2 linked regions of the Caenorhabditis elegans genome follow. The protein of the gene in region 2 interacts with the protein of the main gene of each other region in a pairwise test. Each region holds a gene or a part of one and is shown on either strand. Other genes may lie near its edges.

Region 1 (7,877 bases), on a different chromosome or scaffold from region 2:
AAACAGAAAATCGATATTTTTACGATTGAAATTCACAGGAAATTCTTGTAGGGGGAAAAGAAGAAGAACAATTGTTTTAATCCTTTGCTGAGAAACTGAGAAACTGGGGGTGGGGGATCAAAAATTAATACCTTAATTGTTCAGTTTATTCGTGATTTTTGGATTTTTCGGGTCTTTTCCACGTCAAAAATGATTCTAAAATTCAGATTTTATTATATATATTATTTTAAATCAATAAATTCCGATAAAACAATCAGTTTTCAAGGAAATATGTGGACAGACATCATTGGACCACTTAGAAATTGCGAAATTCACTGAAAATTATTGATTAATTCGAAATAACTGAATAATTAGGTATATGTTAACTGAATTCCATGGAAATTTGCAAGAAAAATGAGCCAAAACGCGATAAAATCCTGGCTTTTGCCTTTTTCCGGTGCCAAAATGGTTTGTGTGCATTTTGTCGTAGTCCGCAATACCAAAACCCTAGACTTTACGACAATTTTCTTACTGTATTTTTTTTGAATTTTTTCGAGCAAATTTCTCCATGTAAATTACTGATTTAGAGAACATTTTCTTACCCCAAAGATAAATGAAAAAAAGTAAAAAAATCATGATTTATTCAAATAAAATAGACCAGCATGCAATCATAATCTTTCTGTGGGGTTTAAATAATTTTTAAAAACACATAATTTAAATAGAAAACATGAACCGCCGCCCAACGGGAAAATAATATGAAGGGACCAAAAGCAATGGGAATTGTGGAAGAACAAGGCAAATAAATTACAATAATTAATATCACACAAAAAACGAAAAAATTATCATATTTCACAACTTTTAGCTCTTCAGAGTTGAGATTCGGAGCCCAAGAACATTCTTTCCAACTTCTGCAACCTGGCACACGTTGCACACTTCTCCCTCGAGCCCTTCAGAGTACGATGCTCCACAATACGGGCATTTACAGAGTGGACGTCCACGGTAAAGAGGCACAAATTGACGAGAGCACACGACGAATGGATTATGCTCATCATAGGTCAACTGATGCGCGTCAGTGTTATCCTTCTCGGCGGCAGTCAGCACTTTTCGGATTTGAGCAGCAACTTCTGGTTTTGGAGCTGGAAAAAAAAATTAAGAATTAGAAATAAAATTTAAAAAAATCAACAACGCAAGCACGTACCGAGCTCCAATAGACGTTTGCAAAGTGATGCACAAGTCTTCATTTGCTTCATTTTGAAGAAAGTATTGATAGCAGATCTCAGTGTCAGGATACGATGCATTGGTTGAAGCTCAAAGTGTGTAAAGTAGGCAGCTAGTTCGGCGTTGCGTTTCGCATCCTCCAAATTCGTTTTTGGCAAATCTTTTCGATAAGTTTCAAGGAGAAGTGCTGCAAGATATTCCCGTGTGATTGTGATGAGCTGCTCCGCTTCGGCGACTTCTTGTTTCGAAGACACAACGATCAGTGGAACAGATAGAAGAATCTCCCGCAGTTTCTCGACAGCATCTCCAAACTTTCCATTCGTCGTCATTTGATAAGCCTTTTGCAGTTTCTTTGCAAGTTGAGAAAGTTTGAACGCAGCGACTGGAAGATGATTCTTATCCTCCTGGAAATTACGAACCGGATGAATGGACACTGGTCCAGCTGGTCCGAGTCCTCCCCATCCACGATGTGAGAGTCTAGAAGCTGCATAAGCCTTCACGAATACATCCTTGAATGGTGCTGCTTCAACGACTCCAATTGTATCATGAAGAAGCTTGATGGCAGTTCCGAATGAACCAGCTGCAACATGATCAGCAGCAAGACGAGAAACATTCGGCCATTCCGATGAGACAGCTGGAGCTGGGTTAGGAACCACTTCCTCATCATCATCTCCACCTTGATCATCGGTAACATCAGGAAGAGCCAGATCATCATCCACATCCCATCCACCTTCCTCATCTCCATCAACTGGTCCTTCTCCTTCATCAACATCAAGTTCACCATCTTCTCCGACAAGATACTCATCATCTCCCCATGCTTCATTTCCAACATCACCATCCTGCAAAAATTAATATTTTATAGCTCAGATAGCTCAGAAATCAATAAACTAACATCATCATCCATAACAGCAAAGGCAGCAGCAGCAGGCTTCACACCGCCAACATTAGTTGGAGCAGATTGTCCTCCTAATCCAAGAAGCTGTGCATCGAAAGTTCCTCGAGCCGAGGCAAGAAGTGGCCAATTCTCTTCTAAACGAGCAACTGGTGGTGGTGGGACAAGGAGGCGAGCATTTGGATCAACTGGTGGGATTGGTTGCTGACGACTCTCGAGTTCAGCCTTCAACTCCTCAGCTTCAGCAGAATATCCATGAGTGGCTGCGGCGAGGTAGGCCAGAGAAGTTTGTCCACAGTTTCGGAGCACTGAAAAATTAACTTTATACTTTATTTTGTTGAAAATGACCCAAAAAGTAACGAATTTCGTCATGAAAAATCCTGAAAAGTTTCTGAAAACTCACAAAAAAAGTTATGGCGGTTTTGAGATTTGGAAAAAAACCTATTTTCAGCTAAAATCTCAAATTTTGCCAACTTTAGTGTGTCATTGATTATTACTTTTTAATACATATTTTGGTCGTCTATCACACTTTTATTCGTTAAAACGACCAAAATACGTATTAAATAGCGATAATTGAATAAAAATCAAGTTCCGTCAGCTGCGAAACTGAAAAGTTGGCAAAATATGAGATTTTAGCTGAAAATTGGTAGATTTCCAAATTTTTTTTTGAGAAATCTCATGACGATATTCGGTAGATTTGGACCATTTTTAGGTTCAATAATTTCAAAATCGTCTAGAATTTGCAGAAATTCACGAAAAAAATACGCAAAGAGGAGCTAAAAATCAATAAAACTTTGACTTTTGCCCCCTTCTGAAATCCAGCTGCACATTTTTACCTTTAACTCTCTCCTCAACATCACCAGTGTAGAGAGCTGTCTGGAAATGTCCGTGAGCATCATTTCTAGCCTGTGCAATCTTCATCATCTTGACAAGCTTATCCGTATTTCCAGTAACAAAATACAAAAACGAGAGCTTCTCAAAGTTTTTCGTTCGTTGATAGCTCATCTCAACAATTTGATGATTGCCTTGAAGAAGAGCAGTCTCTCCGAGAGCCTCCCAGACTGCTGGCTCGTCGAGCTTCTTGGCGGCTTCCAACGCGATTTCCAGGTTTCCACATTCAATTGCCAACCCGAAGCGAGTCTTCTCATCCTTGACAAAGTGAAGAGCAATCTCTGGGTAACCCTTTTTCTCGAGATATCCAATGATGGATTGACCGACGAGATTTGCGGATCGAACCATGTTGACAACTTCATCGATTCGTTTGTTAATCAAAGCAAGCTTAAACTTGTAATCAGAATTATCAATTGGAACTTCAACTGGTGTAGCGTCACGATTCAAGCAGTAGAGCACGTTTCCTCGAATAGCCAGAATGTACAGAGGAAGATCCAGAGTACGAACGATTCCACAATCTCCAGAATTGATTGCATATTTGATGTGATTGCTAGTGGTGTAGAGGAATACCGAGTCATCATCCCAAGCTCCACTCTTCACACGAGTCGACTCCTGTTGGGTACACAGAATCTCCAATTTACGGTTGACCAAGGTCAGCGTGTGCTTTGAAAGAAGAGCTGCGAATTCCATAGACTTGCTCCAAATCACATAACGAACTTTCGACACTTTCACTGAAGCAGTCACAATCTTTTGCTGAACATCAAACAGTTGAAGCCCATCATCATTTCTCAAAAGGAGCATTCCAGTTCCGGCATAGAAAATATCGTCGACAGCCGTGTTGATATTCTCGAGTTTGCGAAGTTCCTTGTTCGTCAAATCACGCAACGACACATTCTGAGCCTTGTCAAGAACTGCAAAACGATTACGAGCAACCCAAAGTGCATTGATTCCGGTGCTCTTGACGCACGCAGCTTCAGTGGTTCCATCAGAGTTACTGGCAACTTTGTACAGCTCAAAGGCGCATAGATCCTTATTGTGAGTACGGCTTGTGAGAAGGAAGGTTCCCTCGGCAGGATTGAAGGAAAGAGAGTAGTATGGTTGCATGAATGGTTGTGGGTAACGGAGCTTGCACAGAGCAACATCCTTGCTGAAAATTTGATTTTAGAGGGGTTTTTGCTTGTACATCCCCTCTGAATGTACAAAAAATAACGAATTTTGTAGTGAGAGTCCTCAAAATTTCCGGAGAAAAGCTCTAAATTTAGCTAAGATCTCCAACTTCGTACTGAAAATAACAGATTTTTTAGATTTATCAAATTTTTAGCTTTAAAAATTTTTTTCCTGCATTTTACGAACAAACCTTCTGTTAAACAGTGAAAATCGAATTTAAAATGACTAAAATTAACTTTTTTCGTCCACTGGTTGTGAAATGGGTTGAAATTGAAGAAATCAACGGGATTTTTCTCATTTTCTAAATATTCTCCTATTAAAAATCGGTTTTAGTAAAAAAAAATGGTTTAAAACCGATTTCTAATAGAAAAATATTCAGAAAATCAGAAAAATCCCGTTGATTTCTTCAATTTCAACCCATTTCACAACCAGTGGACGGAAAAAGTTAATTTTAGTCATTTTAAATTCGATTTTCATTGTTTAACAAAAGATTTGTTCGTAAAAAGCAGAAAACATTTTTTGAAAAGCTAAAAATTTGATAAATCTCAAAAAAAACTCTGCTATTTTCAGTGGAAGTTGGAGAATTTAGCTATTGAAATTACGCCTTTTTTCCGATTTTTTGGAGGCTCTAAATACGAAATTCGCTTAATGGGGCACATTTAAAGTTTTTCATTTAAAAACTACTGAGACTCCACAAAAACATGATTCAGTGCGCCGGAAAATGCATTTTCGCAACTCTCGCACGCTTTTTTTCGCAAAAAAAAAACGCTAATTCTGTGCAAAAATGCATTTTGCGGCACACTTTTCTTGGCATCAAACTACTCACTTGGTTGTCAAATCGAGCTTGCGAATTTGTTGTCCCTTCACATAGAAAACCAAATTATCACTGACACAATAAGCCGGGCGTTCTCTTTGAATTTTAAAAACGACCATTCCATTGTCATGTCCTGCGGCGAACATGTTCAAGCTTGGATGGGCGGCCAAAACCCAGAAACGCTCATTTTCATGTCGGAAAACGTGAAGACTGGTACGCTTCTGCATATCCCACACACGAATCGACTTATCCTCCGAGTTGGAAAGAATCAAGTCAGCATTTGGATGGAAGATCACAGATGAGACGTTATTGTAGTGTCCACGGCACGAGTCGAGCTCCCAGGCTTTCGTCTCATTGTAACGCCAAATCTTGACTTGACGATCATCGGATCCCGAGACTAGAATTGGATTGGTATGATGGAATGCAACCCAGTTGACTCCACGATCGTGTCCCTCTAGCACATGCTTCACAACTGCATCAGGTTGCCCGAATAGCTCAGCTTGTTGCCCTCCGGTTGGCCGGCTTGGAGCACCTCCACCAGGCATTTGCTTCTTCCGAAGTCCAGAAATATCCCAAACACGGACGGTCTGATCCAAGGAGGCAGAAGCCACAAGATCTTCGGTTGGGTGGAATTGAGCACACATGACGTAGTGATTGTGTCCGGTGAGGATGGCGATCGAGTTTCGGCTCTGCCAATTCCAAATCCGAACCGTTTGATCGTCGGACGCAGAAATGATCCATGGATACTTATGATGGAAGAAAGTGGTACGAATATAATCCAAATGTCCGAGAAGTGTGAAAATACAGCGTTTCTGCTTGTAATTCCACACTTTAATCTTATAATCATCTCCTCCAGACACAAAGATCGGCTGATCATGATGGAAGCAAATTCCTCTCACTGGACCATCGTGCTCGTCGAACTTCTCGAGAAGAACGCACATTCGGTAGTCCCAGAGTTGAATGACTCCACTGTGCAGCGATGTGAGCACCCATGGCCGAGTTGGGTGGAACGAAATTCCTGGAAAATTGGGAAATTATTGAAAAATAATGCCAAAAACCAAAATATTTACCTTTAACCCTAGCGGATTTTGATTCAAATTTGATAAGGAGCGACATGATATCCGATTTATAGTCGGTAACCAGTCAAAAACTGCTCCTCGGCGTGAATGAAGGTTCTGAAATTATGGAAATGACACGTGGATATATAAGAATGTTTAAAAAAAACAGACAAAAATGCAAAAAATCAATGAAAAAACTTGGAATTTCGATTAAATTGATAAAGAAACTACGAAAAATACCATAAAAATTAAGAATTTCAGAGATAAAAATCGGTAAATCCACGTTAAAAGAGACAGAAAATGGAGAAAAGAGGACAACGTGGAAACCTGCGCATCAAACGGAATGTGTGCAAACACGGCGACGCGAAACTGCACAGTTTAGGAAAAATGACCGTTAAAGGGGAATTTTAAGTGGGAATTGACATAAAAAAGTGCTGAAAATTGAGGAAAATGGAGGTTTTATTCGGAGAAAGTAGTTTTTAACTGAAAAATTAGGGTTTTTGAAGATTTTTCCCACGTGTTCATATTTAATTTCTTCTCAAAATGTCATTTATTGCTTAAATATTTCAATTTTCTTCTTTAGAAGCTTCTAACTCCATGGCAAAACCGATTTTATATTCATATTGGCGTTCGTCGTGTGCCTGGAGAGTTCGCATCGGTAATTTTAGCTTGGAAATTCTATAAAATACTGATTTATAGCACTTGCTCTGAAAAATATCGACTACGAATACCGGCCAATCGACTTATTTTCTGAAGAATCCAAGGTTAGAAAATTTCCGGCAAATTGGAAAATTGCCGGAATTGAAAATTTCCGGCAAAATTCGCCAGAGCGGCAAATTGCCGGGATTGAAAATTTTCGGCAAATCGGCAAAGTGCCGAAATTTAAATTTCCGGCAAAATTCGGCCTAGCGGCAAATTGCCGATTTGCCGGAAAAAACCACAATTTGTCGAAAACTTTTGGCAACGGTAAATCGGCAATTTGCCCAAAATTACAATTTCCGGCAAATCGAAAATTTAATGAAAATCAAAATTTTCGGGCAAATTGGAAAATTGCCGGAATTGAAAATTTTCGGCAAATTCGGCATATTGCCTGAATTGAAATTTCCAGCAAATTGCTAGAATTGAAAATTTCCGGTAAATTGGAAAATTGCCGGAATTGAAAATTTCTGGCAAAATTCGGCAGAACGGCAAATCGCTGATTTGCCGGAAAAACACAATTTGCCGAAAACTTTCGGCAACTTGTGGTTTTGCACATTTTTTTCTGGAAATTTCAGAATTTCAATTTTAATCGGTAAAATTCGGCAAACGGTAAATCGGTAAATTGCCGGAATTGAAAATTTCCGGCAAACCGGCAATTTGCCATCCACCCCTGCCCTACTCCCACTTCCATAGAAATATAGCTGTATTTCAGAACAATGCAGAGTTCGTCAAGCACAACCCAGCGAAAAAAGTTCCAACTTTAGTGATAAATGGCTTATCACTGACAGAAAGCTTGGCAATAATCGAATATTTGGATGAAGCCTATCCGGATCCTCCGTTCCTTCCAAAAGAATTGGATAAGAGATCGTATTCAAGAGCTATCGCACTTCATGTGAGCTTTTAACATTCTTTAACAACTCTAAGCGAGCTCTTTTCAGATAGTCGCAAGTATTCAGCCACTTCAAGCAATCAATATCCACAAAATGCTCAATGAAAAGGAGCCGGGATACGGTGACTTTGTGGGTTCTCACGTGGTGTCAGAGTGTCCCATGTCGGGTTGATCTACCTAGATCTACAAAAAATGCGGGAGAAGAGACGCAGACTTCTAGAACGTGCTGCTGACGTCACATTTTATCGGTGAAAAAAATTTCCGCATTTT
Region 2 (3,871 bases):
TAATGTACCGAAAAGATGGAGAACCGGTGAAATGTTCGAGTAAAAAGAAGCCAGATACGTGTCCAGAAGGATTTGAATGTATTCAGGGATTATCAATTCTTGGAGCATTGGATGGAGTTTGTTGTCCTGATAGAGGTATATATTCCCTTTTTGATCATGGTAGGCACACTTTCTGCCTTTCACGCGGGCCTGCCTATGTTTTCACATAGTATCCCGTGGTTGGTGTGTGCACAGTATTTATTTCAATAAATTAGAGCAAGGCTCGTGTGCGTAGGCCGCCTTGTAGGCAGGAAATATTATGAAAATTTAGATGCTTTCCGTTAAAAATACGGCAGACGGTCTCGACACGACAAATTTTTATTAATTTAAATTGGGTAAGGTTTGCGCCTTCAAGGGGTACTGTAAAATTTCACAAATTTAACAAATCATCAGAAAATCGATGAAAAGTCCGCAACAGCAGAAGTTTGGAACTACAGTACTCCTTAAAGGCGCACATCTTTTCGCATTTAACAAAAGTTTGTCGTGTCGAGACCATATTTTTATCGCAAAAATCTCAGAATTTTTTAAAATCAAAATTTCAGCCAAAACATGCGTCCACCCAATATTCGATCATCCGGATGATGGATATCTGTCTAGATGGGGATTCGATGGTGAACAATGTATTGAATTCAAATGGAATCCCGAAAGGCCGTCATCGGCAAACAATTTCAAAACTCGCGCACATTGTGAGGATTACTGTATCGGTTCGATAAATGGAATTACTAATTATCATCAGTCCAACTTTCATCTTTTCTGAGGTTTTTGGTTCCACACTTTAATTTATTTTTCTCATAATTTTTACATCGATTTTTTCAACCAATAGACGTGCATAATTAGAAACCAAAGAAATCACATTGAGAGAGGGCGTATTTCAGAAAATAAATAAGAGATTATGGAAATTAGGCTCTGGAATCGCTGGCGACTCTATCGAATTCGGCTTCCTTCTCATTGAAATCGATAACCCATGGATGATTTGGATGCTCATGCTTCAGCTGAGAGATGAAACGTTCGACGACCTGAAAAATATTCAGTTTAATATTGTTAAATTTTTGGAATCATTAAAAAATAACTTTAAATTTTTGAATTTCTTAAAAAAAATTGAGTTTAAACATTTTTTAAATTGGGAAAATTACACTTTTTTCAGGTTTTAAAGTGAAGGAAACTAACATCGTCATCTTTTTCGTTGAGCTGGGCGGAAACGATTGAGTTGATGAGCACATCAGCATCTTTGTTATCTCTTTCCAGAGCACTCTGAAAATATAAAATTATTAATTAACTTAAATTTCTATTCTCTCACCTCCAAAAGCTCCTCTGCAGCAGCATAGTCTTGAGTCAAAATACTAACAACAGCTTGATGCATCTCCAAATCAGTAGTTCTTCCGTATTTATCAGACATTTCGCTGTAAATGTAAAGAGCATCTTTTACTTTTCCAGATGCACCGAACGAGGTGACGAGAGCATTTGCGAGTTGAGAAAGAGTAGCGTCCTCGTCGATTTGATTCATTTTCTTCACTTCACCAATTGCAAGCTTCCGCTTGTTCATTTTAATGAGAATAAACACCTTGGAGGCACGAGCCTCGAGACCTTCGAAACGGGAAACTGCACGGAATGCGTCTTGGGAGAGCTGAAATTCATTCTTGGTAATTTTAAAATAACATTAAATGTATAAATATCTCACATCAGCTTCATTGAGAATAGTAGCGGCAAGAACAGCTGCGATTTCTGATTTAATGTTTCTTGAGGCAACTTCTTCTTGAACTTCAGCCAGAATCTTCTTCTTGGCAGCTGGATTGTTGCGGAATTCGGCGTACCTGCGAACAGCAGCTAAATCAGCAGACTTCGTGGCGGCTGGGATCTTAAAATAAATAAAAGAGTTCAGGCTTGCTCATTAATCAATAACTACCTCTTTCAATGGAATAAAAGCTTGTCCTTGTGCAATATACGATCTGTACAAATAAACATCCTTCTCCTGCTTTTCCTCTTCGTTTTTCGATGAGAACTTCTGAAATATTAAAATAAACCAGGAAATCGAAGGAAACAAGATTTCTCACCAAAGCCTCTCCAATACAAGACTGATAACTTCCGAGAAAGAAATAATTGCGAATCGAGAACAACTTGTCAGCCATTTTTTGAAATCTCTATTGAAAAAGGGGAGATATTTAGAATCGAGAATAAAAGCTCGATTAAATCGGTGAAAAATTCACCACGTCACTTCAAAATATTTGCGGACAAAACACCATACTTCACGCGCAATGTAATATTGCGGACTTTCAATAAAAGAAGAAAATAATTTATTTTCGGAAAAAGGCACAAAACGAATATTTTACGTAACAAAAAACCGGTATAAAATGATAATAACGAAAATAAGTTTTTAAAAAATTATTGCTTCGATTTTCTACGGAGTCCTGCGGATTTAAAGCCAACAAATCGATATGTGGTATTTGAACTAGGCATCGGAACACTGTTCTCTTCCAATGCAGCGAGAATCGTAGTTTTCTCGATTTTTTCTTCAACTTTTTGCGTTGGTTTGACAAATGCAGGACATCGGAATGGATTTTTCGTTTTGGGAACTCTGAAAAAAGTATTTAGATTATATTTTTATTAATTCACAAGCGGATTGTTTTGTAACTCGCCCATTTTCTGAAGTTGGTTTAGAGAAATACTTGGAAGTTTGTGCAGGTTTTCTATCCGGCAACGACGGAGGAGCCGAATTTTGATGATTGAGAAGCGGCGATTGAAATTTGTGAGTTTTTCTTGCCGAATCAGGAGTTGAAACCGCTTTTCGAAGAATCGGAGGAGGCTTCAGCTCTTCGTTGCTATTTTCAACTTTTTCCTCGGCAACACTTTCCTTGGTATTTTCTTTCACTTTTTCTTGAAAAAATTCCGAGAAATCATCATCGATTACTTCCAGAATCTTTTGTCTCTTCTCCGGTGGTGGTTCTGCATACTTTTTGAGAAGAACATCAGCATTATAGTCCACTTGAGGCGCATTTTTCCGTTTTTTGATAGCCTTCTTTTCTTTTTCGATATCTGCCATGAATTGCTTCACAATGTCATCTTCGTCATCGTTTGGGGTAGTTTTCGAAGCAACTTTGACACGCTTCACAGACGGCGAATCGAGCTGGAAAATTTTATATCGTCCAAAATTTTGAGATTTTCATTCTTCTTACCTTGAAAGCTCCACCACATTGCGTAGCTTCTAACTCTTTCTGTTTGCTGATCTTGTCTAGTGTGCTTCCTTTGCTTTCATATCTTAATTATTTAATAGAGTATTCACTACTATTTCAAAGTTATATTTCTACCGTAATCCCCAGACACTCCATTCCGGGGTTGGCTGAACTAGAAGAAACTGATCGTCGATTGAGCTCTTGTTTTCCTGAAAAATGTTCAAGTTATGTAATAAAACTATATGCTCCTAAAGAATTGCTAACCGGATTTCCTAGCGCTAACCGAATAGCGATTCGCTGAGTAGAAGCTGTTCCTGCATACGCGAAACTTTTGGAGCTTGGAGCCGTCTTCTTTGGTGACTGAAATTCACATTTAAACGATATTAGTGACTAGATAAGCTTGATGAGCCTACATCCAAGTCTATAACCTCCTCCAGATCGTCGACTCCAGTCATCAAAACTTCTTTTGGGTACGGTGTCAACGGCTTCTGGCACCGTTCTCTAGGATCAAATACAATTTGATGTTTGAATGTATTTTCCGCCTTTTCGAAATTTCGAATGAATTCATCGTTCACGTGCTCCTTGAGCTTAGGATTTTTCAGGTATGATGGAACTTTTCGGAGCAAAGTTCTGAGATCCTTGATTGATGTCATGGAGAAAAATTT

Evidence for each region.
Region 1: the proteins of cope-1 (region 2) and copa-1 interact in a two-hybrid assay, tested with the Caenorhabditis elegans proteins (one large-scale study listed by BioGRID).

Annotation. Positions count from the first base shown.
Region 1 is NC_003279.8:2,894,725-2,902,601, forward strand, and holds copa-1 (Coatomer subunit alpha), read right to left. Parts: upstream 6,137-7,877; 5' UTR 6,078-6,136; coding exon 6,032-6,077; intron 5,980-6,031; coding exon 4,974-5,979; intron 4,128-4,973; coding exon 2,926-4,127; intron 2,398-2,925; coding exon 2,090-2,397; intron 2,037-2,089; coding exon 1,178-2,036; intron 1,116-1,177; coding exon 838-1,115; 3' UTR 605-837; downstream 1-604. Other genes in the region: gst-43 (maleylacetoacetate isomerase), read left to right, coding at 6,617-6,677, 6,719-6,783, 7,431-7,610, 7,657-7,737.
Region 2 is NC_003281.10:13,424,648-13,428,518, reverse strand, and holds cope-1 (Coatomer subunit epsilon), read right to left. Parts: upstream 2,256-3,871; 5' UTR 2,166-2,255; coding exon 2,091-2,165; intron 2,042-2,090; coding exon 1,943-2,041; intron 1,895-1,942; coding exon 1,718-1,894; intron 1,664-1,717; coding exon 1,337-1,663; intron 1,291-1,336; coding exon 1,207-1,290; intron 1,056-1,206; coding exon 939-1,055; 3' UTR 798-938; downstream 1-797. Other genes in the region: Kunitz-type protein bli-5, read left to right, coding at 1-135, 582-796; exo-1 (Exonuclease 1), read right to left, coding at 2,419-2,611, 2,673-3,160, 3,210-3,291, 3,342-3,415, 3,471-3,566, 3,620-3,871. UniProt on the Caenorhabditis elegans protein: The coatomer is a cytosolic protein complex that binds to dilysine motifs and reversibly associates with Golgi non-clathrin-coated vesicles, which further mediate biosynthetic protein transport from the ER, via the Golgi up to the trans Golgi network.